4 linked regions of the Lytechinus pictus genome follow. The protein of the gene in region 3 purifies or fractionates together with the protein of the main gene of each other region. This does not show direct contact. Links are inferred from orthologs where the notes say so. Each region holds a gene or a part of one and is shown on either strand. Other genes may lie near its edges.

The links.
Region 1: the proteins of dnaJ homolog subfamily C member 7-like (region 3) and intermembrane lipid transfer protein VPS13B-like purify together in Homo sapiens (co-immunoprecipitation; 3 studies listed by BioGRID and IntAct, counting the BioPlex papers as one, with this or other methods). This does not show direct contact. The link is inferred for Lytechinus pictus from reciprocal best matches to the Homo sapiens genes DNAJC7 and VPS13B.
Region 2: the proteins of dnaJ homolog subfamily C member 7-like (region 3) and intraflagellar transport protein 122 homolog purify together in Homo sapiens (co-immunoprecipitation; 3 studies listed by BioGRID and IntAct, counting the BioPlex papers as one, with this or other methods). This does not show direct contact. The link is inferred for Lytechinus pictus from reciprocal best matches to the Homo sapiens genes DNAJC7 and IFT122.
Region 4: the proteins of dnaJ homolog subfamily C member 7-like (region 3) and BAG family molecular chaperone regulator 2-like purify together in Homo sapiens (affinity purification with mass spectrometry; 7 studies listed by BioGRID and IntAct, with this or other methods). This does not show direct contact. The link is inferred for Lytechinus pictus from reciprocal best matches to the Homo sapiens genes DNAJC7 and BAG2.

Annotation. Positions count from the first base shown.
Region 1 is NC_087245.1:38,392,815-38,400,462, reverse strand, and holds the start of intermembrane lipid transfer protein VPS13B-like, read left to right. Parts: upstream 1-4,642; 5' UTR 4,643-5,013; intron 5,014-7,309; 5' UTR 7,310-7,334; coding exon 7,335-7,648. UniProt on the Homo sapiens protein: Mediates the transfer of lipids between membranes at organelle contact sites. Binds phosphatidylinositol 3-phosphate. Functions as a tethering factor in the slow endocytic recycling pathway, to assist traffic between early and recycling endosomes.
Region 2 is NC_087247.1:78,869,341-78,876,682, forward strand, and holds the start of intraflagellar transport protein 122 homolog, read right to left. Parts: upstream 3,018-7,342; 5' UTR 2,920-3,017; intron 1,265-2,919; 5' UTR 1,198-1,264; intron 1-1,197. UniProt on the Homo sapiens protein: As a component of the IFT complex A (IFT-A), a complex required for retrograde ciliary transport and entry into cilia of G protein-coupled receptors (GPCRs), it is required in ciliogenesis and ciliary protein trafficking.
Region 3 is NC_087245.1:11,878,104-11,885,745, forward strand, and holds the start of dnaJ homolog subfamily C member 7-like, read right to left. Parts: upstream 3,016-7,642; 5' UTR 2,885-3,015; intron 1-2,884. UniProt on the Homo sapiens protein: Acts as a co-chaperone regulating the molecular chaperones HSP70 and HSP90 in folding of steroid receptors, such as the glucocorticoid receptor and the progesterone receptor.
Region 4 is NC_087261.1:44,255-51,703, reverse strand, and holds the start of BAG family molecular chaperone regulator 2-like, read right to left. Parts: upstream 3,002-7,449; 5' UTR 2,703-3,001; coding exon 2,432-2,702; intron 1-2,431. UniProt on the Homo sapiens protein: Co-chaperone for HSP70 and HSC70 chaperone proteins. Acts as a nucleotide-exchange factor (NEF) promoting the release of ADP from the HSP70 and HSC70 proteins thereby triggering client/substrate protein release.

The sequences.
Region 1 (7,648 bases), about 27 Mb from region 3:
TACTTTACCATCAAATCCTCGAGTGGCATTTACCCTTGTCAATATTCGTTAGGGAAGTTAAATCAAGTTTAAAAAATTGCAATACATATTTTGTTAGCTTAGGAACATCAATATTTAGGTATTCGTATAATTTTTTTAATAATTAAAGATAAATGTAAAACGCATTGCTTAATTTTGCCCCCCCCCCCCAAAAAAGGGTTAAAAACAAAACAGGAAACGAACAAGTCGGACAACTGTAATTTTTGCTGTCGTTGTTCATAGTTGGAATGGGAAAACCGAATAACCGGTCCACAGAATTGTAGTTCATCTTAAAACTTTCTGGCCCATAGTAATCCTAAGCAAGATCCTTAGTAATGCATGACCAATTCTGGGAATCCAAAGATACTTTACCATCAAATCCTCGAGTGGCATATACCCTTGTCAATCTTCGTTACGGAAGTTAAATCAAGTTACAAATTGCAATATTTATTTTGTTAGCTAAGAAAAATCCATATTTAGGTATTCGTATAACAGTTTTTAATAAATAAAGTTAACTGTGGAATGCATAGCTTAATTTTGCTACCCCCCAAAAAAAATGTTGATAGAACAGGAAACGGACAAGTCGCACAACTGTAATTTTTGTTGTCGTTGTTGTTCATAATCATGATAGTTGGAATAAGAAAACCGAATAACCGGGCCACAGACTTGTAGTTCATCTTAAAAGTTTCTGGCCCTCAACAAAATATAACAATCGCAGGCCGATAACCAGGATGAGTTCTCTGTAGTGGCGTACCGTGAGTCACGGCATTGGGGGGGGGGGCACCAGCAAAATATTTGAGTCACTTAGTGAGCGCGCGAAGCGCGCTCAGTTGCCAGGTAAACTGACCTAATAGGGACATTTTAAAGGCAGTGCCATTAAACGGATATGTATGTCACTGCTCAAATAATGCGAGCGCGAAGCGCGAGCTGAAAATTTTTGATATGCAGACCAAAAAAGGACATTATAAGTAATTTTTTTTAATCATGATACATACCTGTCTCGCTAAACAAACAATGCGAGCGCGAAGCGCGAGCTGAAATTTTTGTAAATATTGACCCTAAACAAGGACATGTTAAGGACTATATTTTAGGAATCCATTAAGAGTATACATATCTCACCATAGTCATCTAATGCGAGTGCAAAGCGCTTGCTGATTTTGCTACATCTAAACACATGAAGCACTTTTTGTAGTCATTGTAATCATGATACTACGCATCTCACTCATCAAATATTGCGAGCGCGAAGCGCGAGCTGAAAATTTAGGATATTCAGACCTGAAGAGAGGCATTTTAAGGCCTGTTTGTAAGAATTCACTAAGACCATACGATACGTATTTCACTAACCAAATGATGCGAGCGCGAAGCGCGAGCTGAAAATTTTTGATATTCAGATCAGAAAAAGGGACATTTTAAGGACGGATTTTTAGGAATTCATGAAGAGCAGACATATCTCACCAATCTACTAGTGCGAACGTAAGCACGGACAGGAAATGTTTTATATTAACACCTAAAAATGGGGCAATCACTTTAAGTAGTCATGAAAAAGAACCATATGTCACTACATAAAACAATAATAAGTCGAAGTGCGAGGAAATATATTTGGTGTATATTGACTTAAAAACGTTAAACGGACAATGCGAGTACCGGGAACAATGAAGACATCTAGGCCTGAGCAAAATAAACTTATGAAATAATGTTTCTTATATATTATAACATAACATAATTATAATATAACATTATAATGAACAATAATTTCTTCATTCCCACTACGTTTCATTTTCTTTCTCCCTCTTTTTCTCCTCTTCCCCGTTTTTTTTTTTGGCCAGCCGATTGGGGGCCACGTGCCCCCCCCCCCATGCCCCCCCCCCCCCCGTAGTTACGCCACTGGTTCTCTGGGTTACGAGGAACCCCGCCGCTTGCCAATAGCCAAAAAGATAGAGAAAAAAGGAGAGAAAAAAAGGACATGGGGAAATGAATAATTAAAAAGGGAAGGCGAATGAAACAAGAGGCTTAGAATTCAGCCTTGTATAAGTTGATATACACAAATTATTACTAGATTCTATATGATCTAATCACGATTTTTTCCATTATTTTTTAGATCGAGATACGCAATTACGCATCCTGTTCGTGATTAAAAAAAATGATGAATAGCCAAAATGTCTGATCAGCGAAATACGTATTTCATTCCTAATTCCAACAACCGTGAGCGTTTGAAATACCCCTTTCCATGTTTTCATGTCATTCAGCGCTTTTCATGCGCATTAAAGGGGTCATCCAGGCTAAAAAATTGATCTGAACAGATAATTATCAGACAAACGAAATAATACAAATATGATCAAAATCGGACAAGGAATAACGAAATTATGTTATTTTAAAGATTTGCCTTATTTTAGTGAAACAGTTCCATGCATATCTTCATGAATATTAAAAGAGCTTATTGATGGTTTACATAATACCAACTTGTTCTTTTGTATTTAATTGCATGAATTTATTTTTTTATTTAAATTAATTATATCGTCTTTATTTAAAGCGTGCTTAAAATGTCTGGTTTTCATATTGGAATGACACATATTTTCAGCTCGCGCTTCGCGCTCGGATCATTTCCTTGGCAAGACATCCATCCTTTTTTATGATCACAAAAAGTTAATAGAATGTTCCGTTTTGGGGTATAAACCTCCAAAAGCGTGCGTTTCACATTTGCAATAATTCGTTTATTGGACATATATCTTGTTCTCAAATTAAAACGTTTATAAATTATTTTTTCAGATCAAAATATAAAAAAATCAGTCACATCAATTAAGATACCCATCCTTATAATTGGTACAAAGAGTGTTTAGAATGTTAAGCTTTCAGTCAGAATACCAAAATAAAATCAGCTCGCACTTTGCACTCGCAATAACAGTTTATTCAGAAACATCCTGATCATTTTTACCACAAAAAAATGCTTAGAATCTCAAGTTTTCAGGTTAGAGTATAGAAACGTTTTAGCTCGCGCTTCGCGCTCGCATTATAGATTGGTGAGATCGTTAATCCTCCTCATGAGTCATTGCGCAAATAGTCCGAAAAGGGGTATTTTTAATGTTTTCAGGTCAGTATATTGCGAGTTTCAGCTCGCATTTAATTCCGTTACGTCACAGTCATTTAATTTTCCTTTCCAATCCATTGGATATTATTTTGATATAGCACCTATTCCTTTAGGTTACAAAGCGCTGTACACACACACTACTCCATGTTTAAATTATCAGGTTGTAGTGGCGACTATACTAGGCTTTGTCACAATTCATTTATCTTCTTCATTTGTTTGAGATGGGTTTAGTTTCGATCTACTCCTTTTTACGCTTTTAATGCCAATTCTTTATTCTCTTCAAAATCGGCCCTTCTCCCTTCTCTTGACTTTTAGTTCTTTCTTGGAAAGCATGCAGACCAGTGTTATGTGAGCGGCGTTTTATTTCTCTTTCTTTGGCCATGAAAGCTTTCTTGTTTCTCCTCCTTCCCCTTTCTCTCCATCGTTTTTGCCGACTTGACGCCTGTTCTGGAACCAGAATCGTACTATCAAGCTCAGCAAAGTACAGCAGAGAAGTGTATTAACTTCCGTAACAATAACTGAAAGAACTTATATAGCAAAGGAAATTAGAAATTTTAAGTTCTAAATAAGATGCTTATCCTTAACATTTGTAGTATGAATTATTCAAAACTCTAAAAGCATTAAATATCGTATATAATTATCGGGAGATTTTTTTCGTTGGTAATTTTCCCTCTGTTCAAAGTGATGTTGAAAATAAGTTGTGTAATAATAATTTGACATGGATGAAAAGCTAAGATTTTCATGGGTACCTAGGTGGAGGGTACCTTACATGGTTTAATTGATCCGGAGTGATTCAGTAAAGCACAAATTTGTAGCATATTCAAGAAAAAAATGTTACGGAAGTTAATGCGTTACGGAAGTTAATGTCTTTATGATTTATGGCCCAACGCAGTCCTTATTTAGAAGCCCTACCTTTGAAACAATAATTTATTACTTTTTGGTATATATATTCTCAATATGGATATCCTTTACCAGTCTTTCGCTTTTCGCATTTTAAACAAGACAAGCGGCCTTTGGAAGTCATATCATTTTTTTAGGATAGTTTTTAAACAAATTTTCCATGCAATTCTTGGTTTCAATGGGTTGTAGACGTAATGCTATAGTCTTACTCCTGGCAGTCTCCATTTTAAATGTAATATTCTTTAAAATGTCATCGAAGCATGCCAAATGTCAGCCTGATCTAGCCACTACGGTATATATAGCCTATACTTTTACAGGAATGTGAATAGGGGAATATATACCATTACTAATCGAAATGTAATTCAATTGAAATTATAGCTGCCCTAGATTTAGTTTCCTAAATATTGTCATATAGTCCAAGTTACTTATCTTTGACATTTAGCCCCTTATCCTTATCCCCGACCAATTGCAGACAAATATTTCTCAACTTTCTTGTTACCCTTCTATTTTCTTGCTTTTGATGATGACGGGGGTGCTGTCATGATGACTTCAAGTTGTCGCGCCTGGAATTAGATGTGAAATCCAGCAGTTTGGTGTTTTACGGTCAGCGTATGCCTATTTTCTACACCATATAACCACACGTAAACAAACTGTACACGTGTCAAGAACCAGAAGTAAACAACCCGTTCGACGACCTGTAATTGCTGATCAGAAATGGAATCCCAATCGGATCGGAATGCTGAAACAAGCTCCAATTGTCTTCTTAGCTTTTGATATCTACAATCAGCAAAGCCGCTCCACCAACTATGCAAATGAGCAATTCAAGTAATTTCAATTGTCGACCTTCATTTCGTCATTTCGAAGATCAAGACTGAACTCACTCGGGCTCAGCATCATCACCGGCTTCCTGCGGGTGGGACTGCCGGCGACAGTGGCAGCAGTCCGACGACACGAACTGCGGAGACAGCGCTAGCGTTCCCTACATTCAAGTACCAAAAGTGTATTTTAGGGTATGTCCACAGTTTTGTCTAGTTTCATTTGATTTTATTTGCATTATCACCGGGTTTTTTTACATTACCGGTAGGTCTACAGTGGATTTGCTAAGAATACTACAAAAGAGTAGAAAAAGAAAAGTTGGCACATTTTTTTCACAAATTTCAGGCCTTCATTTAAAAATTTTATTCTGAATAGATCTAGTCTACTCTAACTTTGTTAGTTAGACTAGACCCACTCACACGTATTGCGAGGTTAGTATGCTATACTCACCGCGCACTATGTCTATGAACGTGTTTACGCAATGGATTTTAGAGTTGTCAGTTAACATCGCTTCAGAACGCGAATAATTGTTACTGTTTATAGCCAAAACTAATTCCGCTACTCACCCGGTCCAGGGCTTCATTTTCTGGTGAAAAGCATTCCATTTTCAATTTAAAAAAATGTTTTTTATAAGAGATTTAGGAAGGAAAAGTTGGATAGACCCACTCATTCAATGAACAAGGTTATGATATAATGTTCTCCGTCTACTCCCTGGCCCTGTTAGGTGAAATAAGGTTGCCAATGTTTGGCTTATTTTCTCTTGTTCTGGGGACAAATGCTGGATTTTTTGACACTGTCAGTTTCCATTACAACTATTCATATAAATTGGCTCTGAAGTAAATTGAATTCTTTACCGGTAATTATTTTTTCTAAATTGAAGATAGAGATCGTAAAATTACAATTTTCTTGAAATTTTACTTTCCTCCAATAGAGGGCCTACATAAATATGCCAAAAATTCAAGTTTTGAGCGCTCTGGTGAAAAAAAAATGATCCCCAAGTTACTATTGAAAAATAAATTGCAACTGAATGGAAATGGGTATTTTTGGTTACAAAAGTAATATTTTAATGATTTTTTTATGTGTGTTGTATACTGCATAGATCTACATTCCCCACAGGAAGGGTGGTTGCAGTGAACAAGTGGATAGACCTAGCCAAGGGGTCTCTTAGAGAGTAAAAATCATTCACTACAAGTTTACTCTCCACAGAGCCAGAGATTGTACAAATATGTGCGTATACCCTTACATGAATGTGAAGTTAGCCCGGGGGGGGGGGGGGGTATACACACATATATTGGTGGTACGGGGATGTGTCGCCTTGATGACCCGTTTTTCAGACCTAATTTTCGGTTCTCTAGATATTCCGAATGACAAAAGTTCTGAAATGAAATTCCGAATGAAATGTGGACATAAGGGTAATTATGTATCATTGCTCATCTTACACAAGTCTTACATATGTAGGTCACTTGATCAAGGTCAAATGTCATTTAGGGTCAATGAATTTATCATATTATTATGTGAATGTTTTTTTTTTGTGAATGATTATTTCATCAAAGTCAGCTATATGGAATCGCAAAATGCAGGCGAGACTACCAGTGGCGCTCCACTTGTTTTATCTCATTAGTTATTTCTCAATATAGAAGACTGCATCAGGCTAGAAGTTTCACTATAATAGAGTGACAGCTTCGTGAGTATGTGTGGAATATTTTCCAAGATCTCAACGAACATGCACCCAAAATAAGAATTGAGGGTATCAGCTTTGTCTTGCTTATTCTTGACCCATGATCCGTCTGCTGCATGCAGGTCTGGGCTCCATCTTTCAAAGAGTTACGATCGATCGAGTCAACCTCAACTATATGGAAATCCATTAATGTCGTAATATTTTCTACATGAAATTTGCACAGTGCCCAATTGAAACAAAAGAGGAGCACTCTGATTTTTCTAGAAAACAATGAAGTATGAATATAGAAAATATTTTGAACAAACATACATTTTTGATGTTGCTGGCTTTCCATAGTTGTGGTTGATTGGGTCAATTACAACTCTTTATAAGGCGGGGCCCTGGTATCCCAGAGCGTGACTTCGTATTACTTTTCACATACTTCCAAAATGACTTCGGATTGAATTTATCTCCTCTGCTAGCTTTTTAGATTCAAGTAAACGATATTTCTTGCTTTCATGTACAAGCAATGATTCTTGTCATTGTTATTCTTTTTTTAGCTTTTCCATGGTTTCTTTAATAGCCGAATCGCTACCCGAGCTGACTTTGTGATCATTTTTTTTCTTTTAATACACCTTTTGTAATGGCACAAACTCTTGAAGAGACATAACTTCTATTCTCTTTCTCATATAAAGTCCCAAAGCTCCAAATTCAAATGTGTAGAGTATATGTAAAAAGTTGAAGTTGAGTCTGAATCCATGATTCATATATAATATTTTTACATTATCTTTGAATGATAATATTTCATCATTATCCTTTATTTTTTCTTTTAGAACTATACTGAAATAGCCGATCACCATGCTGGAATCTTACATATCACCATTCCTATTGGGATATGTAGACAAATACATCAAGAATCTGAAACCCGAGGATTTGAGGCTATCGCTATGGGGTGGGGACCTGGTCCTGAACAATCTAGAACTACGCTTGGATGCTTTGGAACGTGACCTTAACCTTCCTCTGTCGTTTGTGAGTGGTTTCATTCACGAGCTTCGCATTCATGTTCCTTGGACGCGGATTGGCTACGAGCCAGTCGAGATCAGTATTAACACTATCGAATGCACGGTCAAACTGTGTGATGCAGAAGCAGATGGTAACGAAAGTGTCAGCTC
Region 2 (7,342 bases), on a different chromosome or scaffold from region 3:
TACAGACCATGTGTAAGTAAATTCAACTTAAAACAGAGTAGATCTTAGACTGAAATAAACAAATGCACGATGAAAAAATAATCGTACTTGATCGAGCTAATTATCTTGAAATAAAAATACAAGCATTTGGTATGAATTGTTGAGTTCTGCTCCCACTAATGTTCCAGTAAAGGAACTTAGGAAGAAAAGAAATAAAAAAGTTTAAATGTGATTTTTCAAATTTCTCGCAAGTTTCAAACACATCAAGTTGACTATTTGATTATGAAGATAAAAACAAACAATGTGAATATCTACTTAAGGCAGGGTTGGGCCCAATTACATTCCAAATACATTCCTAATTACATTCCAGAGATGATCTAGCTACTAACCATCTTCTAATTAGCATTACAATAACCTGCTTAAGCCAGCTAATGACCAGATTATAATCAACTTGACAATAATTTTTCATTGGGCTGACTTTAACAGGTTAATATAATGTTAATTAGAAGCTGGTAAGTAGCTGGATCATCTCTGTAATGTAATTAGGAATGTATTTTGAATGTAATTGAGCCCAACCCTGCTTAAAGGCAATTTATCTTCAAAGGCCATTATGATGATATACTATCAAACAACTTCAAAATCTCTTCCAATACTATGAATTCATATCTTTATTTAAAATGGTTTACAGGGAAGAGAAATACAGAGGAATAACAAGAAATTGAAGAAAAATAACAAGACAGGAAGATGAAGAAGGAAAAACAAGAGATAAATAATAAAAAGGAAGAGAAGCAAACAAGATCAACTGACTTGAGTTACAATCTAATAAGATTGGGGATTAGATAAGAACTTGAGATATATACAACTTTTAATTTGCAGTTGGATTTCTCAAATTCTAGTATGCATCAAATATCATAGAGCATTGTGAATAAATTTTTTTCTCATAATATTTTCCAACTTAAATCTAAAGAATTTATGAATTATTGAAGGAAAAATTATTTAATTTGCATCTTTCATCTCAAGTGTCGAAATTTAACTGACCAGAAAACATACAGCACTCACACTTAATGCAAGGTTTTGCTGTAGCAGCAGTTGATGAGCTCTTTGAATGCATACATCAAAGAAATGAAATATAATATTTCACTTGCGGGAATAAGACATTCCACACACAGGTAATGGCTTCCTGAGTTGGAATACAGACATAATAATATCATGGCTTACCAGTACTCTATTACCAGCAGCAACAATAAGTTGGGTTCCATCAGGCTTGAATGCAAGATCATGAATACTGTTTGATAAAAGGAAAATATGCCGATGAATAATTTCTAAAGATCTAATTTTGTCTCAAAAAGGTTAAAGGCTAGGTAAGTAGGTTATGAAGTGAAGCCATGATTACCTCAACAGATTCTAATATTTTATATATTTGCCAAATTGAGTATTCAATTTTACATAAATAGTGACACCTACATGTACATGACACTAAAACATTATATTTATTTAGACAAAAGAGAACCTGTATTCGCCTGTATTAATCTTCAAGTGTGAAAGACACAGGTCCACCCTGAGGAAGAAGAACTTCATGAAATTTGAACAAAGACAATCGTAACCTGCCCAAATGTAGGTGGTTTCTCTAGCAATTGAATTTAAAGTTTCTTACCCAAATTTTGCCCAACCCAACCTTCCTAAACAATCTTTCACCTGAATGTCTGTACATCTATCATCAGAAACTACAATATTTTAGCTTCAATAAAGATTTCTTGCCGTCTCCGGACTCTTGACCTCAATGAGTCAGGTTGAGCAACAATGCCAGCACTGTAGCCAACTAAATCAGGCAGTTCATGACATGTTTGGTGTTATTGAACTTGCTAACACTATCAGTAGCAATGTCTTCATTCAAGTGAAGTGTAGACAGCTAAATTAGTCTGTTTGGAAAATTGCAGTACTGACATTTAAAAAAAACTTTGTTGGTTTATCCTCGTGTCATACAAAAAATACAAGATGGCTAGCCATCCATCCTGCTCACAGTGAAAGGGAACTCTACCCCATAGACTCAATGCATTATTCCCCTTTAAGTGGGGGATTTGATGTTTAATAATGATTCTTATATAGGTTGGCATGGACATTGAACTTTCGTCGTCGTTGGATAGATGTACTCTTTCCGCATGATGAGCGGGACTCGATCGAACCCCTCATCCTCGAGTCAGTTTGAGATATAACATTAGTACGGTCTAAGTAGATCTAGACCAAAAGCTTCGGTCTCTGTTATATTGGTTGTTCCGCTGAACTCCGTTGGCTCCACTCACCAATTACACAGACCGAAGTTCTAACTCGATCTGTACAGGGACTCAATGGACATATGTTTATGTATTAAGTTCAGATAAACTAGGGAAGTGGGAGTTGCGCGACAGCCGAAGTAGGTCACTGTTTTTTGTCCTTTTTTTTTCATTTAAATTTTTAAAAAATACTTGCATCGGCCGATAAATATCATCATATCTTGAATCGTAAAATACTTGCATCGGCAATAAATATCATATTTATTGGCCAATGCAAGTATTTTACGATTCATGATATTTATCGGCCAATGGAAGTATCTTTTTTTTATTTAAATTGGCACTGCTCATGATATTGTCGCCCTCTCTTTTAGCTAGGCTACGATAACAAAGACGGCAAGATGGCGACAATAACATCTGTGAGTATCTGCTCATCTTCTTACATGATTTTTCTTAATTGTTATATTATTTTTCGTGTAAAAAGGTTACATTTTTACATAAGTTTGTAATTAGTAAGTTAAAGAAATCAAGTATTTTGGAGCAACATTGTTGTCTCCAAATACTCGGTGTGTGTGGGCCTATGGCATCCCATCCCAGGCTTCATGGAGAGTAAGCCTAACGTCCATGCGCAGTGAGTTGCCATGTGCAATTTTTTTACTGTTGCGCCACTCACCTGTCACTGCCTGACCAAAATGGTTCTAGAAATCATTTGCAATGTTGAAAAGTGTCTTGTGGCATCTGATATTAATCCTCAGTAATTCCCTGAAATGCTGCAACATTTGGTTAAAAGATCCAGCAAAAGAAAAAGGAGTTTAGCGCAGTCAAAATCAGACTGTCAATGTTTTTATCGTGTATAGCTGAATTAGTTACCCTGTATAAAGATGTGAAATAAATAAATACAACTTGCAAACTTGGTCCATACGGTGCAAATTTTAGCTGCCATTTTTCTCGGGCGAAGATTTAAGACGCCCACACTAAGCAATCAATGTTTCCATAGCTGCCCGCTCAAGTTACCAATATTTGCTATCAAAATATAGATTATAAAAAAATGCTCACGATCATTTCATTTTGAAAGTGGGGGTGACAATTGTTATCAAAATAAGAGGGGGTGGCGTCTCAACGTATATCTCAACCCAAGGTCTCAACAACGCAGCTGAGTCAATGCACTTTTGTGTACGATCGGTGCGTGTGTGTGCGCATGCGCGATATGTCTGTGTAGTAAATGTATTGGACGTTTCGAATCGGTGACTCAAAATTTACCCATCATTGTGTCACCGTTCCGAAAGTGCGTAATTCATGACATTCTTACTTAAAAATGCAGCAATTTCAGGAGAAAAGTTTTTCACATATTTGAAAGGATTTGTGGATACTTTCATCTCATAGACATAACTTAGTCATATGGGTCATTCCACGGGGTTGGGGCAACAGCACTTTTTTGTGTTCCCTATGAATTGTTGGCTTTATCCTGAGAATGTGTTTGGCGTTTGGATGTTGCAATGTGGTTTTGTTGGAAGGCAGTTATGTAAGCAATTACTTGATGCAGAAATAAAAATGTTGAACCTCAAGTATTTTTGATGATGAGACTTTAAATGATGATGTCCAGACTCTTTTTTGGGGTACCAAGTGTGACATCCAAAATGGTCATTTTCAGTTGAAGATATCTAATTAAAAGATAAACTAAGTCAAATTCAAATGGCCATGATTGATAAAGCAACATTTGTTTAATAACAAAACAGTAATGGGATAGCAAATGAAAAGAGGCTTCATATCATTATTAATTCCTACAACATCGCATACCACCGTTACATGCGATGTCCGCCTTTATTTTTTTCTGTAACGGCGGTAAAGTGGTAAATAACTAAAAGTCAGAAATCATTCTTTCCAAAGTTATGTGTCAGAAATAAAGGGCAGGCAGTAAGCAACTTTTCATCAAAAGATTAGCTTTGAAAACCAATGTTAATGTCATGTTAATTAATCGAGGGTCGCCGATGTTTTGGGCGATGTCCGGGTCAAATTTGTAACGGTGGATCACATTTCATCGCGTATGTAAAAAGGAGAGACCGGAGAAGAGACCGTCGTTGTATGTATCAGACGGACGGGATGTTAGCCGAAATCCACGTGCACATGAACGGCTATGATATCGGGTGTTTTGCAGCATTGCAATTGGGAATCTTCCCGCAATGTCCGTGTAACGGTGGATTGGATCTCCACGATGTTTTCCCTTTCAAAGCGACGTAAGTACGGAGATTTATCCCGATACTCGTATTTTTAAATCAGTTAAACCTTATCTTAAAAATGTGAAACTATATTATCGTGCAGAAAGTGTTTTTAAGTTTGAAAAATCTCGCTAATTTTCCATAATCTTTTACTACAGTCCCACATGTATCTTTTCGTGTAAGTGAAATATGTGATTGAGACATCGCCGTGTTTGTTCCAGATTTGCTAAACGGCCCCAAAGAAATAATGTTTTTATTACTGTGATTCCGTGCAAACATGTTTTGAATGTTAGCTGACATGATTCAATCGCAATTTAGTTGATTTTTTTGAACACCGAAATATGTTATTTCAATAGGCCAATGGATACTCAAAACTGCTCTATCACCGATGATCATGCTGACATCTCAGATTTGGTACAAAATCTCGCCTTGTTGAAATTGGCTCCTACTGATTCTACGTAATATGGGTATCAAAGACCTGATGATCAAATTTGAATTTCCCCCAAAAAATGAGAGTTTAGAACCAGTGGCAGCGCCACGGGGGAGGCAGGCCCCCCCCCCCCCGCCCATTTTTTTTTTTTTTTTTTTGCTTGTCAGCTGATCCCAATCCGAAAGAAGGGGGGGGGGCAAAATAATGTTTCTGTTACTACCCCCTACACATAGTGCATGTGCTTTGTGTATGATGAAGCATGGCCATAATCCAATTACTAGTAATTCTTGGCTGTAGGCCTAACCTTCCCAAAACTTTTCATCTTGTTGAATGTTATACTTTTCAGCACATTCTTTTTTTCTCTCAATATTTTTTCAATATTTTGTATTTTGATTTCTATATATTCAATTGTAAGGAGAGGGGGGGGGGGGATTCGTTTTATCAGAAAGCAAAAGCCTGTGTGATTGTTTTCAATGTGATTTTTTTTTATTGCAATATAATGAGATTTTTAAAACATGTACAAGTGAACAAAAGAAAATGTGACACAATCAAGTTTGTTTCACAAGAGTTTATTTGCTGTATCAGAAGGTAAATTGCAGATTTGAATTCCATTAATTTATTTAATTCCAATAAAACATACATATATTATGTAATTGCTTGAACAATTAAACTTCAGCAATGAAAATTAAATAGGATGGTCATAAAAAACTAAATGGAATTGTCTAGATAACCACCCTTGATTAGAATGCAGAATAAAATTAGATTAAATTAATCCATTGAGAAATGAAATTGAAGTACAGATAATTTATGAAAAGGTAATGGGCAAGTAATTGTATTGTGAAAACAAAGTAGAACACAACAACACAAATACAAAAACCTTCTATAAAACGTAACTTTATATTTAATTTATGAACTATGAAATGATGAATTCTATTTGCTATGAAAAAATACAAAGTGAAGGTTCCTGTGTATTTTGCAAGAACAGATCAGATTCATTGTCCCTAGTAATCCACCCCCTTTAATGAGAAAATGTCAAGACATAAATAAGTAAATGATTTGATATGATATAAAAAATATTTGCTTATTGCTTAAAAAATATAGTCAAACTTCCAAATACTATTTTTCTCAACTACAGGTAGCCTCTGTTCAAGGTGAAAATGTATATCTTCAGTACATGAAGTGTCAATCTGGTGACCTGTACTCCTGGCCTGATGGCGAGGCACAATTCTACCTCCATCCACTTTGTGACATTGACAGAATCCTCTTCCAAACTGAAATTTCTTATTGGGTCACCAGTCTTCTTGAAGTTCATAAACTTGTAACCTGAATGCAGAGAGAAATATTGCATGTTAATTTTAATAGTCAGGTTTAGTGTACAGTGTAATACATTTTTTTGCATTTGCCAGTAAGAAGTTTACCAAAGAGTTCTTGCAGTTTTATTTTTGATCATTAGAATAGCTTAGTACATTTTACTTTCTCGCTTACAACTCTGTTAAAAAAACAGAAGATATAAAGGTGGTGAGTTTCTTAAATTAAATTTGTCCACTAAGTACTTTACAATTGTCCTTTTCACATGTTGGAACTTAATGTTTTATCTAATGTATGTAAGTTCCAGTGATGACATGATTATATTTTAATTAATGTCACTTCTACACTACCATTTTGAGGACATGATGTCCATGTAACTGAGGTAAAACAAATTAGAGTTAACAAATTGAACAAGTTTATATGTGTAAGGTATAAATGCGTTGTCCATGTCTTCCATGCGAACTTTGTCTTGTTTTGTCTTGAAAAACCATAGCTTAGAAGAACTAAACTAGTACCTTTTCCCTACATATTTTTCACCTGAATATTGTATCAAAGGTATCAAAAAATTTTATAATTGTGTATGAATAAAAAAACATTTTACCTGTTCATTGATATGAATTACAGAAGCTTGCTTGTAGATGTTGTATTTCTACACTTGAGTAAGATGAGTTAACTTGCATTTAGTGTGTTGATACTAGAAAAATATGTCAAAATATTCAAGTAATGCTATTCAATATGACCATTACAAGGACATGATGTCCGTGTAACAGAGGTATCTACATTTGAAAGTAATATCTTGAAGGAGATATTTCAAAGTAATAAAAGATTTGGAGATCGTAAGATAGCACTGTTTCGTTTTTTCCCCTTTAGACAGAAACATAAATGTTTCCAGAGACAGACGGAAGTGGAACCTTGAGGATTAGTATGATTTTAAATATAATGTCAATAATTTTGTATATTTTTCCTTGTTTAAACTCTAATTTAAAGTGCTTTTACTTGCAAAGAATTTGACATGCAAAATGTTTTTCTTCTAGTATAATCAATTGAACTTGTGCAAATATTCTAAGGCAGAAAGGGTAATTTGGTATGTAATGACCATTAATGGATCTTAACTTACAATGCTTCAAATTATACCTCTGTTA
Region 3 (7,642 bases):
TTTATTGTTAAGCTCCTGCACGTTTAATGACAATAGATATTAATTATTTTGGCCATATTCCAGGGTTGTTACGTTTTCAAGCTTTGCTTTTGTGACGACCCTTGCAACCATCCTATTTATTGTGTAACAGAAAATACCACTTAATGATTTTCATTTATGTAAGCTATGTTTGAGGATTTATATACAAAACAATTGTTCATTATCTTGATGTCAAGTTTCAGATATGTATTTTTCTTGTCCAGAATTTTGTTATGAAAAATGTTGCAAAAACCAATAAATGAAATGAAATGAAAGTTGACCTTCATCCAACATCGAATCCTCAATGGCAGCACCAACAACAGCAGCTGCACGAACCTCTCCATATTTACCTTTTGGATCAAAAGTGAGGTATACAGCTGGATGTCATCAGCATAGAAGTGTATACCAAGACCATGTTGCCACATTACAGAGCCAGAGGAGTGATGTACAGTTTGAAGAACAAGGTACAAGGACAGACTCCCAAGGAACTCCATATCAAAGGGTAATCACAGGAGACTGCATGCCAGTGATGAATACAGCTTCATACAGCTCTGTTGGCAAGGTAAGAGGAAACCTGCCATTGGAGTGCAGAATCATCAATTCCAAAACAGACTGTCAGTCTCCTAAGAAGAATGACATGTTCACTGGTATCAAAACCGGTTGACAAGTCAAACATAACTTAGGCAACTGCTTTCCTCATAGAAAGAGAAATCCTGGCTCTACAATCGAAAAATGTCTCGACCTAGACTTTGATGGTGATATCTCAGACTCGCATGCAGCCTATCAGAGCTGGGTAAGCCATTGGATGCTGTTGGGTTTAATACCGATCAAAATAAGTGGATTAATAATCACCTACAGGAACGCCAAACATGCCAGGAACCCACCATCCTCTGAAAGATATCTTTGTTATCAATTTGAAATAGTCTATCTTATGAAGATATGAAGATGTGTGAATATTAGAAGTTCGATAAATGGCCTAGAAGACATTACACAATTCACTGCGGTATTGAAAAGGTGCACTCCGTGCATTTTAACACCTGAAACAAGATCTGGTTAGACAGCAGATTCTCTCTTAAGACAAAAGTTTAGGTTTTCTCTATGGATCTGTGACATGAGAATCGGACATATCTCAAGAACACAAACACGATGACTTCGATACGAACTGCCTCCGCAAAATACTTGTACTAAATTGGTTTGATTTCAACAATTAGAGATGACTTTTATAATATGAGGCTGCCCTATCAATCAAGCCATCCAATGGAACACCAAATCGATGATAACTGACATTGATAATTCAACACCCCGAAGGTAAAGGTGTATATCAAGCTGGGGGAAGCTGGATGCCTGTAAGTTGGATAAAGCGGCAATCATTGATAGGACAGGTGCAGTACTGCATTGGAAAAGATATATTATGGAGATGCACATGTAATCCGTTAATGAAGTCCAATGATTAAAACATTTTATTAAAAGGATATGCAGTGACCTATTCGTTGTGGAACTTTAGAACATCACAGTCTGGCTTTTAAAACACGGAAAACGGTCTAATTGATAGGCAAAATGAGAAATTAGATGGATTATATGTGGGTTAAGTTCTGATAATTTTTGTTCAATATTGGGACAATTTGACGAGCGTAATGGAGTAAAACACAGGACATCTCATTTTCAGCAGACGGTTTTCACTTCATTTTGCTGAAGAAAAACACACTAAATATATATACATGTATGTGTGATCAGATTCTGCTGGTCGGGAACATAACTACTCCAAAGGATATTAAATGCAACTGATTGACTATTAGGAGTTGAGAATTACAGTACTGTTATGATTCAAATTTAATAATTCATCATCTAAAATTGTAAATATGAATGAATTGATTGATATCATAATTCAAGATACCATTTTATAATAAAAATATAAGCAATTAATAGTGACATTCGCTTGAATACAGATAGGTTCATGAAATTCGTTGGATTTCCACCAGTGTGCTTTTAAATGGGAAGGCCCTCCGTGCAGGAGTTTTCCTTTGTATGCAGATGTGGGTGTGGGAGTGGGTGCATCTGTTTATGTCCATGGATATATGCGAATAAAAAAGTGACTACATAATTAAATCATTGAAGCTAATTATTTTCTGCCATTGATAATCAATAATTTGACAGATCCCATAACAAAACATGTACAAAACAAAAGGTACAAAATACAAAGAAATTCAAAAACAATAAAATACATTATTAATCACTGTGATATTATATTCTAAGGGCCGTACAATTATTTATAATGATGTAAATGCTATTTGTACCAAAAACATAAACATTTGAGCTGAAATTATCAAATTATAGCATAATGATCCAAAATATGCATAAATTTGCATAATTAATTAGCAGCAAACAAAAATAACAAGTTTTCCCGAAAGGTACACGTATGTATGCAGGATTTTGCAGTATTCATGTCTGTGAAAGCGAATATAATTAAAGAACATTGTCGAAATAATATTCTGAATTGTCAATTTGGCAGCCATTTTGTTTATGCAAATTAGGTGGTCAAAACATGAGAAATTAGCTTGGGAACCGATCTAATCAGATTCAGCATATTTGAATTGTGTGAAATAGTCCGGTTTCCAACTTTTACCCCAAAATGCTTCTTAAAGTTTATATAGGCCTCTTTTTCCAGAATGGGTCTAGTCTAAATGCCATTTTCATGGTTTTAGAGATTTTCTTTTTTCTGTAATTTTTAAGAACTGAAATAGGCAGAGAATGGGTTAAATTTTCACTTTTCCTCAATTTTTTGTGTATGTTTTATAAGTTTTTTAAGGACTCATATTTGTGACAATAATTTGGCCAAAAAAAATGTTATTAAGTCCGACTCATTCACCTCTGACAAAGCTTGTTTGTTGGTAGGTTCTATATCAGTTACCCTCTGGAGAGCTCTTATTGCTGCCTCAACTGATCCTAGGGCAAGCTGACATTTTGCTTCTCTTAGATGTCCCTGCCAAATGAAAAAAAAAATCTGAAATATATCATTGTTTCTGAAAGGAAATGCATTGTAGTGAAGCCTGTGGACAAGACTAGCGATGCTAGATAAAAAGTAGGGCTGTACCTTGGTGTTCGTTTATGAACAATCCATGTAATATCTCTGCACACATAACACACATTCATATACTCAGAAAAGTAGCAAACTACATACTTGTACACGTCACTGAGAAGCTCCTCCGCACAGTGAAGTTAAGCTATGATACACGATGGAGCTTCATGGTGATACACATCACACAGATCTTCAACATTTACATAAAAACTGATTTGAGAATAATGAAAACAAACATTTTTTTTTTTTGTCTAAAAATTGTGCTAATAAAATGAGGAAAAGAATGCAATTGAATTGCTAGTGTCTATTTAAGGACGTTCCACAGTTAAAGTGAAATCCATGTCATTTTCACCAAACTTTGCACATAGATACTTTAGAACCTTAATATTCGAAATATGCAAAAATTAACATAGGTCCATGTGCTTGATTTTTTGCTATAGAGCTTCAAAGTTCACCCAAATTGATGTTCTTAAGAATTGCGCATTCAAAAGAATTTGGCATTTTTAGACCGCCCAAGATTACTACAATGAGTTTAAACCTCCATTACTCATTCAAAATACATGAAAAAGTCATCAAATTTCGCAAGAGAGTTAATAATTGTATCGTTAGAATGGAGAATCTATTAATAGTGCTATTTGTTTGCAATTTTAAGTTTAACAGCACTGTCAGTTCTTAAAAATGGCGTAAAAGATAACAAAATCCCAATCTGAAAAATGTAAAATTTCAGTAACAAACTACAAACGTACAATAATTGCTGCACTTTATTCAAAATCCATGTCATTTTCACCAAAATTTGCAGAGTTGTAGAGGAAGGTATACCTAAGAGGTACAAACATTAAAAAATAGGGGTTCATGTGCTTGTTTTTAAACTATCAGCATTTTTATTAGAGCAAATGTGCTTTTTAAAACACCAAAAATGGGCCGAATGCTTAGTATCTATGTGAAGAAAAAATCAAAACCACTCTACCATTTATTCAAACTCGGGCTAATATTCGTGATTCTTGGCAGCACTGCAGAGTAAAGTATTTTGAAATTGTAGAGAATATTTTTTTGAATGGTCCATGGAATAATTCAATTTTTTAGCTTCATAAAATAACGCATCGGATCTGCAGTTAAAGTGCAGAAGATGAGAAAAATCAGCTCATACCCGCAGCTAATTAATACCTGTTCATCCATTGTGACGTCAGCGCGCAGAGTGTAAACTATGCGCAGATCATAATGCGCACAAATATAACTGTGGAACGTCCTTAAAGTCAGTTCAAATCATTTGCTATTTTGCCATCAGATGGCATTCAGTGTGCAGGATTAGGTCAACAATTAATAAAAGCGCCATCTAAAGGCAAAAATGCAGCATATAGACTTCAATTACGAAAGCGACTAGAACGTATAATCTGGAGAGATTAAAGAGCGTCATCATATTCAAATACGACTACTACTTGAATCTCTTGCTATGCACTAAAATTAATATTTTCCTCATTAATGACCATGGATATTTTCATGTGGTTTTCATTACTTTCATTGTGATGATAATTGATATCCACACAAGTTAATGCAGAATTTTCCAAAAAAAATCCAGCAGGTCTAGTAAAAATGTCAGAGAGTTGTATAGTTGACCAATATTAAAAAGTTGTATTGTTTGACTGTGAAAGGGATTGTACAAGCATATAATGGCAGAGTGCCAGAGTCAGACAGTGTATATGACTATTCCTTTGTATCACTGAACGTTTACTGACCAGTAGACAATTTGGGTACTATAAAATGCAGGCTAGTTCAGAAAATCAGAATACAGATAAATAAATCAGAGAGAATACAGGTTTGGATGTTTCACGGACCAGGGGTTATTCACAACAACAATCAAAATACAATTTCTGGTGAGATAAATTACATCTCATAGTAGAATGGTTTTAAGGTCTAAAAATGTTTTTTGTCAATTCCCCCCCCCCCCCGGGCCTTTGGTGCTTGTGTCATGGCACATGATAACTCAAGCATGTACATGTACTTAGTTTGCTGACACACAATGAATAATTTCTTAAATTCTTTCTATTATTAAAGATTGTTTCTTGATCATAATGGATTTGTGAAGAAAAATCAAGAAAGGTATAAATTCCGCATATATATTCTGATTGCTGAAATCTGTACACAATGTTCACCCCCCCCCCAAAAAAAAAAAAAATAATAATAATAATATCTCAAAGCCACACTTGTTGGTGGCATTTTAGTTATTTTACGAGTTGAAAACAAGGGAAAAATTAGTGAAAAACATTACCTTCTCTTTTATCAAGAAAGCAAAGGAAACACAAAGAAAGATAGCACAATATACAAAAGAAAGATATTTATGGATGGAGGCCATCCTTTCTTGACACATTTGCAGTTAGTTTGGGAACTGAAAACAAAAACATATTTTCCATTAAAAACAAGCCTTTTCAATTTTTCGGAACATAAATACACATGTAAATTAGGATGGGAAATTGAGAGACAGGAAAAAAAATAATTGAAACAGTATTTTGTTCATTTGTTTGTATTCTTGTTTTTTTATAATTGTTTCTACAGGAAGTTTGCATAATCTCCTTAGTAAACAAAGAGAATCACATTGAATCTTCAAGAGAACAATGAGTGTATGAATATACATCATTATATCAAGAAAATATTCTGAACAAATTTGCATTTTAGATGTTGATGTTGCTGGCCATCCACAGTTGTGGTTAATTGGATCAATCGCAACTCTTTGTAAGACGGGGCCCAGGGGAGCATTATATGAAAGGACTTATCGGACTGACAAGTCCTATTTTATCCAACAGTTACCATAGTAACCGTGCTTCTCAGCCAATCAAATTCAAGGAAAGTTGTCAGATCTGACAACTTGTCGGATCGAAAATATTGATGAAACGCTCCCCTGGCTCCGGTAACACAAAGGTTTATAGCGATTGATCATACGCTTGATCTTTACGATTGATCGCACATTGTAGTCAATGGAATCAATCGTAGAAAAATGTTCTACGATCACTGCTAAGTTTTGTGTTACGGGCCCCTGGACTCTATTTGCAATGCAGGGAATCAGTTAACCCTATGATTACCTCATACATCGTACATGTACATGTTCAAATTTTCTCTTTCTGTAGTACAGAAACGAGATGGACAACAGTATTGCATTAGACTGTGGAATGGGCAAGGAAAATGTCTCTAGTTTTTAATTTCCGTGGGGCAGCAAATGCAACCACGGTTCTTGGACATGATAATATGTAAAATATTATGTGTGAATACATGCAATATGTTGCCATCACTGAATTCTGCTCCTGAACTCAAAATTAAAATAATAATATGCGAATTCGTACCACTGATTCGACTGGAAATCCCGCCATTCACCCTGTGTGTTAAGGACTTCCGCGAACGTGCGCAAGCGTGTACAATGCATGTAACCTCATTCACGGTTATTTATTTTTTATTCGCTGTATAATATAGAATCTACGATGGCAGATAAGATGTCGTCGTCTTCATCGTGTTTTGACAGCAAAAATGACGTTTTACCACCAGCAAATAAATGCTACATGCACGTCTTATCCAAGGAGAGAGGGCCAGTAAATTTCTTTCAAGTAAATAAGAGCTGGAACAAATTTAAGCCTTTGCTGCATTCGCTGGTGTAGACTACCTGGGACTTAGGAATAAAAATCTATAACATAAGTTTGATCCATTCGGATCTTTCTGCAATGCTGGTCGGGCCGGGCTGCAAGTCAATTGCAAACTTCTCTGCTGCACGAATAGCTATTTTTATTCCGAAGTCCCAGGTAGTCTACACCAGCGAATGCAGTGAAGGCTTAAATTTGTTCCAGCTCTTATTTACTTGAAAGAAATTTACTGGCCCTCTCTCCTTGGGTAAGACGTGCATGTAGCATATTTGCTGGTGGTATAACGTCATTTTCGCTGTCAAAACACGACAAAGACAACGACATCTTATCTGCCATCGTAGCTTCTATATTATACAGCGAATAGAAAATAAATAACCGCGAATGAGGTTACATGCATTGTACACGCTTGCGCACGTTCGCGGAAGTCCTTAACACACAGGGTGAATGGCGGGATTTCCAGTCGAATCAGTGGTACGAATTCGCATATTATTATTTTAATTTTGAGTTCAGGAGCAGAATTCAGTGATGGCAACATGTTGCATGTATTCCCACATAATATTTTACATATTATCATGTCCAAGAACCGTGGTCGCATTTGCTGCCCCACGGAAAGTCACAATTTTAGCGACTATCCTACAGTCTACATGTAGGATTCAGCTGTCCCAGCCAAATCAAAATTGATCTATTTCTGGCTACATTATCTATTTATAACATCAACAAGGTCAAGCTACTGTAGTCGTCATGGTAATAACAAACATGGGTAAACAGCTGGATTAAAGCTCAATCCTAGTCTTAATAGCACCTGAATAACAATTTCTTATACTTTCTTGTCTTCAGGCAAATTCCAGAACGGTAAACAGACAAAGAGGCCAAAGTAAGATGCAGCATGGTTGTCCATGTGACAAGATTAAAAACAATAGGCTAA
Region 4 (7,449 bases), on a different chromosome or scaffold from region 3:
AGTTTCGTGAATATTATAGAAGGGTATTTAATATAACACAGTTTTTCAGGATCTACTAAAATTGCCCATATAGGGAATAGACAAACTGTAGCGTTAAAAGAGTTTATAAGGCAAGAAGGTCACTTTCTCTGAAGATTTGTTTCTTCATTGAAGTGTTAGGATCTGTCGTTTTAACCAAGGCGATAACACGGCCATCACTTGTCCATGCCGCGTTTACATTTTTGTGTTGGCTTGTCTTCTTGAGGAGTTTGAGGGTTGTCAGTGTCAAATCTTCTTGAATAGAAATTCCACTCCCTTTCAATGTCTTTTTCGCTTTCATAAATTGCGTCTTCTGTTTGTAGGAACACAATTTATCGATGATGGGTTTAGCCTTGGTTGGATCTTTTTGACCTACTCGATGGGATCGATCGATGTGGTGTTTTTTCAACTTGAACCCAAGCTGATCCTTGGCAATGTCAATTGCTATTTGATCGGTATCTTCACCTATTTTCTCTTTCACACCAAAAATTATAATGCTGTTTCTCCTTGTATACTGCTCGAGAATATTCAATTGGCGCTCCACGTCTTCTCTTTTCTCGATTTCATTCTGTAGCTGTTTCTCCAGAATATATGTTTCTTTTTCTTTACTCTCCAAAGAATTTTGAAGTTGAATGTTGGCTGATTCATTTTCTTCTATGTGGCGACGCATGTTTTCACATTGAACATTCACTACTTTATCCATTGTTTCTTTACAGACAGTCTCCATTGTTTTCATTAATTCTTTTGTTTTGAGTAATTTAGTGAGAATTGTTTGAAGGTGATAATCATCATTAGGTGAATGTTCAGACATATCAATCGTTACAGTGTCATCAGCTATATCACATTCAGAATCATTTGGATTGGTATGTTTCACCTTTTTCTTGCTTTTAGGGGTGCACTTCACTCTGGCGCCATCCCCCTTACCCGCCATGATCGGACACCGAAGCGAACGTAAACCTTAGTCGGGAGCAATATACACACGGATATATGTGACGATCAAAAGTACATATGGGACTGAGAGAATATATATAATACGTTCAAACGCTGAGCGTTCGGCAATGCAGATTTGCTGTTTCTCCCTCTAGATCAGTCCAATTACGAAAATTTTGTGGCAATTACATCACGAAAACATAGGTGTTTACAATCACAATTAAGTCAAGTCATAAAAAATAGAAAAGAAATCAGTATCTTCTTGCAAATCTTGGTTTGGATGATAATAAAAATATTGACTGCCCTCCTTTCGGGGAACATCAAATATATTGCCCTTAAAAGACCCATATTGCCCTCGTCTAAAGACTTGGGCCAATATGATTCTTTTGCTGGCAATATATTTGATGTTCCCCTCAAGACCAGTCAATATTATATAATTATTGACTGAAAGATTTTGTGAAATAAGAAGAAATTCATGTTAAATCTGAACTCAAATTGTTAGGTGCGCAGACTTGGGGCCCACCCACCCACGGCTACATCTCAGCCGCCGACTACAGAATAATTGAAGGCACGGCGCATTCAACAAATAACATTAATTTACGAAAAATTAATACGAGGACTTACAGAATGAAGTCCTCAGGACTACGAAACTTACGAAACGATGTGAAGTCAATTCCTCATAATTTGATGAATATCCCTCAAAATGCGTCATTTAAGCGTTGATTTTTCTTCTCGTTGACAAAATACGAGAGCTACCTTTTTAGCTCTCAAATTTTTTGTCTAATGAGCGAAAGAGGGCACGCGATTTATCTTCATATCAAAGACACTACAATTAAAAGACTAGACACAGAAATTATCTTACACGTAAATCGATGCAAAGCGTTACGCGAAGTCGGCAAAGTGTTCAATCTTTTTACTGTAAAGACTTTGGTTGAACGTTAAATGACAAACGAACGGTAGCACTTGCGGGGCTTTGTTCAAGGTACATAGAATTTTCTATATTTTTTGTTTAATTTGTCATCGTTTTGAATATTTTCCAAAAAGTATTATCGTCAGCAAAAATACTTTCCAGGCGGAGATAAGCGATTTTGCTCTTTTTTGTGTCCTTTTTAAATTAAAAAAATATGTTAAAAATTGATAATGGAACGCTTTCTACCAGAAAAAGCCATGGTGAGTAGCGGAATGGGTTTCGGCTAACATCATTCACGTTATGAAGCGATGGTAACGACAACTCTAAAATCCACTACAAAAACACGTTGGTTGTGCGAGGTTCGTATAGCATACTAACCTCGCAATAGTGTGAGTGGGGCCCACCATCATACTAAATTACTATTGAGACCTCAATCTACCCCAGTCCCGTGGCTCCCTCGTTTTGCACGGTCGACTCCTGGGCTCCGGCACGCAAAGCGAGTCGGAGCTCCCTGGGTTACCCATGAAATAGCCTTGCACTATCCCTATAAAGAATTCAAAATAACCAAACTACCTTCTGAGAGATGATCAATAGCCTCGCTCTGCATCATTGTGTTTAGAGAGTCCAACAAACGAGTCTTTTCATCATCAATTGATCTGGCCGTCTCCCTCATTTTCTCAACACGAACTTCCAAAGCATCCAAAGTCTTTAACAGATATTCATTGGCCTGCTTGCCTCCTCCACCATCATGATCATCTGTAAAATTATTTGGAGAGGGAGGTATCATCTCATTTTGGGCCTTCTTCTCTTCAACCTCACGTCCACTGCCAGCGATACAGGCCATCGCGTTCCGCCCGATCCACCCCGATAAGGCGATAGCAGCCGCGGCTCAGAAACTATCAAACTCAGACGGGCTACGCTGGATTATCTGTCTGTACGCATGGAAAAGATCCTCCAATTACTACCAGAAAAGGATTCACAAATTTTATGACGAGAATTCCGCTGATTTCCTTATTAATAGTAGATGTCTTATGATTTTCGTCTCGAAACCGATTGAAGTCTGAAGTCCCTAATTTAGCCAGGTCCAGCAGTAGGCCGACTTCTCTTTCTTGCGTAATTGTTGGTGTTGTTGTTGTTGAATATGATGGCGCTCTTCAATCTTGATCTTTCCAGATTATATGCGCCAGTCGCATTAATTTGGTAAGTAGGACGTCGTCGTCAAAGAAAAATCAATGCGACGCATCTCGCATTGACTTTGTAGGTCCTACAAAATTACAATCCAATATAATATTCCAAAATACATAATTGTAAATAACGCGTGTAAGAAATGAGAAATGATTGCCCGTGAGCAAGGAATGTATTCGACATTGCTCTTCTATCATGTAATCAAATAAATGGAAATGCTATACGCATGATAATCATTATTAAACATAAGCGTATCTCTTTTTCATATTTTGAACAAAATAAAATATACGTTCAATAGTTTCAAAAACTTTGCACACCTCACAGAGGCCTGGTGAATATGGTTAATTTGAAACACATAATAGTTTAATTTGTACTTACTAACTCTAATATGATGAAGGAGAATTTCCTCTTTCCGAGAAAAACCTTGCCTGCTAAAAAACATTATCATATAGCGGCATTTTCAGAAGCATTCCAATCTGCTTGCTAGATACCTTTATAATAATTTATGTCAAGCGTAAGCATGTAATATCATTTATAGCGCTTGGTAAAACAATGTTTACAAAGAAGTTTTCGTAGCTCCTCTCTTGGTAAAGGCGGTCTTATCAACGGTCTCGTTGCGGTTAACATATATCACACTGCCGGAATCCACTCAAAATTTAAATAAAATTTCATTAAAGGAAAAGTCCACCCCAACAAAAAGTTGATTTGAATCAAAAGAGAAAAATCCAACAATCGATTTCATCAAAATCGGATATAGGAAAGTTATGACATTTTAAAGTTTCGCTTAATTTCACAAATTAGTTATAATTATGCACATCCTGGTCGGTATGCATATGAGGAGACTGATAACGTCATCCACTCACTATTTCTATCGTATTTTATTATATGAAATATTCTAATGTTCTCCTCATTGTCAAGTAAAACAACAATTCCTTCCTAAACATGTCACTTAGCATTGTATTAATTGTTCATGCAGTCAACTTAGTCTTTAAGGCTGTAAAAAATACTTCGAGATATTGCATATTTCAAACAATAAAAAAAACAAAAGAATTAAGTATTGTGAGTGAGGGACATCATTGACTGTCTGATTAGCATGTCACTGAGTTGTGCATATTACTGATTTGTGAAAAATAAGTGAACTTTAAAATATCATATAACTTTTTTATATTTTACATCCTATTTTGATGAAATTTTCAGCATTATGCTCAATGAATTTGATATTTCTTTATTTATTCGTATCAAAATTTTCTGTCGTTGACTTGAAATTTAACAATAGTACGGTGAAATAGGAATAGTCAAATTGAGTGCTAACAAGGAATCTCAAAAAAATGATCAATGAATATGAATGGCCACGAGTTCCGCTCTCAAGACTTACATTTCCTGAAATACATTATTTTATATTGAGGGACATAAAATGCTGCTCTTGTTTTAAATATTTCCTGTTGGGATCCATCTGTATATGTAAAATAACCATTCCATACCATTCCAATTCTTTCTAGAACAAAAGATTTCATCTTAGCCGTTAGCATATCCTTTTTTCTTTAGTACGATGAGCATAAAAGACGCAGGAGGGCGGGATAAACGCCATTCCGGGATTTTTGTTAATAAATATTGTCTTGATTTTCTATACAAGTACCTCATCTCTACAGGCTCGAAGTTTAAAAGGTCCTCCCCTTCATCCATTGGTGTCTGTTCGTATGATCAATGCTGATTTCTCTACTTGGATTGCATGAAGTGTTAAACAACAAATAATATCTAAACTTATCATTAAAGGGATGGTCCAGGCTGGAGATATTTATATCTCAATAAATAGAGTAAAATTCACAAAGCAAAATGCTGAAAATTTGATCAAAATTGGATAACAAATAACAAAGTTATTGAATTTAAAAGATTTGCATGATTCCGGTGAAACAGTTTTCGGAATGTTTTTTTAATATTCGTTAGGTGGGCTGATGATTTCATATCCCCACTTGTTCTTTTGTATTTTATTATATGAAATTAGGTTTATTCAAAATTTTTCTACCAAGAACTAAAACAATTGGATTGACAACTGATTAAATGCATTAGTTATTTATTGCCGCAACTTATTTCATCATAATGGAGACACATCATTTACACATGTATGAAAAAATGAAACATTTATGATTTCATGCAATAACATAAGAAAAAGAAAAGTGGGGATGTGACATCATCAGCCCACCTTATGAATATTCATGACGATGTGCATATAACTGTTTTCACAAAATATTGATAAAAATCAAAATTCAATAACTTCGCTATTTGCTATCCGATTTTGATAAAATTTTCAGCATTTTGCTCTGTGAATTTTACTCTATTTATTTATATATAAATATTTTAAGCCCGGACCATCCCTTTAAACAGTGGGTTTTCTCCGAAGATACAATGGTAATTCACCTGTCAAAACTCGTAGAGACTCAAATGATACATTGTATATTGTGCCTGCATGTAATTAATGATTTTCAAAGCTCTCTCTTGTATAGAGTCAAGCTTATAGTCTTAAGACATTTGAGAGATGTACAGGCAGAATCATACAGAATAGAATAAGTCCTTTGCATATCATCATCATCAAAATTTCATACTTATTCCCCAGGTCGTACCCGAAACACAACGTAATAAGTGCAATCTTTTCTTACATTTTATCAATAATCACAGCCGCGCATTAATATAGATATTATGTTCTAACCAAACACAAAAAAAATTTAAACTGCTCACAATGAGGCAAAACATGTCCGTTTATTTTCAAAGCAATATCTTTCTTTTGTTACTTGGTAAAACTAAAGCTACACTGACTTGATATGGGAATTATTTAATTTCCATCTCTAGCACCAAAAGAAGAAGAATAAAAAGATTTTTTTTTAGATCAGTGCGTGAAAGGCTTCTATCGTACTGCAGATTTTATTTATATTTAACAAAATGTCATAATAAATAAATAATTTTGAACGCATCTGTCTAATAGACATGGATCAATGATGCATTGTATATTTTTTTAAAATGACATGAAATTCGCAGCCAATGGCAGAATTCGTGAATTTGTACAGAGTAAAGTACAGAGTAAAAACGAAGTACAAACAGGTAATAAAATTTAGGCATTGATATTAATCCCTGGGATAGGCCATATACAAAGAGGGTAAATTAAAGAGAGTGAATCGAAAGTTTTAGAGGGAACATATCGAAATTATGAACAAATTAATGATCTCTGAATCAAACAATAATTCGGATCGGATACGTCACTGATTTGTCAGTAAAAAGTTGCGTATATTTTTTTATTGATTTAAGACAAAGATGTCTTTCCCCATCTTTACATTTTGCATTTTGCTTTTTTACTTTAGTGTATTAATTTTCAAATACAGTGATATCTTTAAGATATCACTGTATTTGAAAATTAATACACTAAAGTAAAAAAGCAAAATGTATAGTGTTTTACCACAGTCGTCAATTCAATGAGATGCTGGGTAGAAGCATAATGATATTTAGAGTAGACGTCCGAAAATCCAAAACAGAAATTGATGTTCTACAGTAAAATGGGTGACGCCACCAGGCGCGGATCCAAGATTTCGTGGGGAGGGGGGCCCAAATTTGACCTGATTTTTGGCGCCCATGTGTACTTTTCGAAAAATGGCGCCCCCTCCCTCCCGTCCAGGCTAACTTAAATGTAACTTAAAAGCCTTAAATGTATTTTGAATTATCTTATTATATAATCACATTAAAAAAAAGGCAATTAAAGACCACTTTTTTAATGTGTTCTTGAAAAAATTCCATGAATATATAATGTAATATCAATGGGAGCGATTTTTTTGGGTATCAATTTGGTTTAACTTCTCACCAGAGAAGGCCCTATACTAGAATATTGTGTGACTGGAACGGGAGCTGTAGTTTCTTTACTAGTTGTTTAGAATAGCCTTCAATAATATAAATGATAACCTCTTGGGAATAATGCAATCTCGAAGCAATCGACTCAATCTCCTCATCAGTGGCGAAGCTGTGATTTATTCAGCAGGGTTGCACGGGGGGGGGGGGGGGGGGCTTGTTGAACTTTTGTAGAGGGCACCAAGATAAAAAAATAAAAATAACATGGGGGGGGGGTAGAAGTTAAAGAAATTCCGAAATTTTATTCTTAAAAACACATTGAGGTATCTCACAAGGCCTAAATAAATAATGATAACGCGAAGCGCGATATATTTGACATAATATTTGGAAAATAACATTATATTTCACCATAATCCCAATCCTTTTCTCTCTTTTTTTTCTTGGTCGTGATTTTTATTTTTTTATTTTTTTTATTTATTATTTTTTTTTTGGGGGGGGGGGGCAAAACGCCCATGTCCTAACAGTCATTTCTTAGCTTTACTTTATAAACAACATTAATGTGCAATAATCTCATAAGC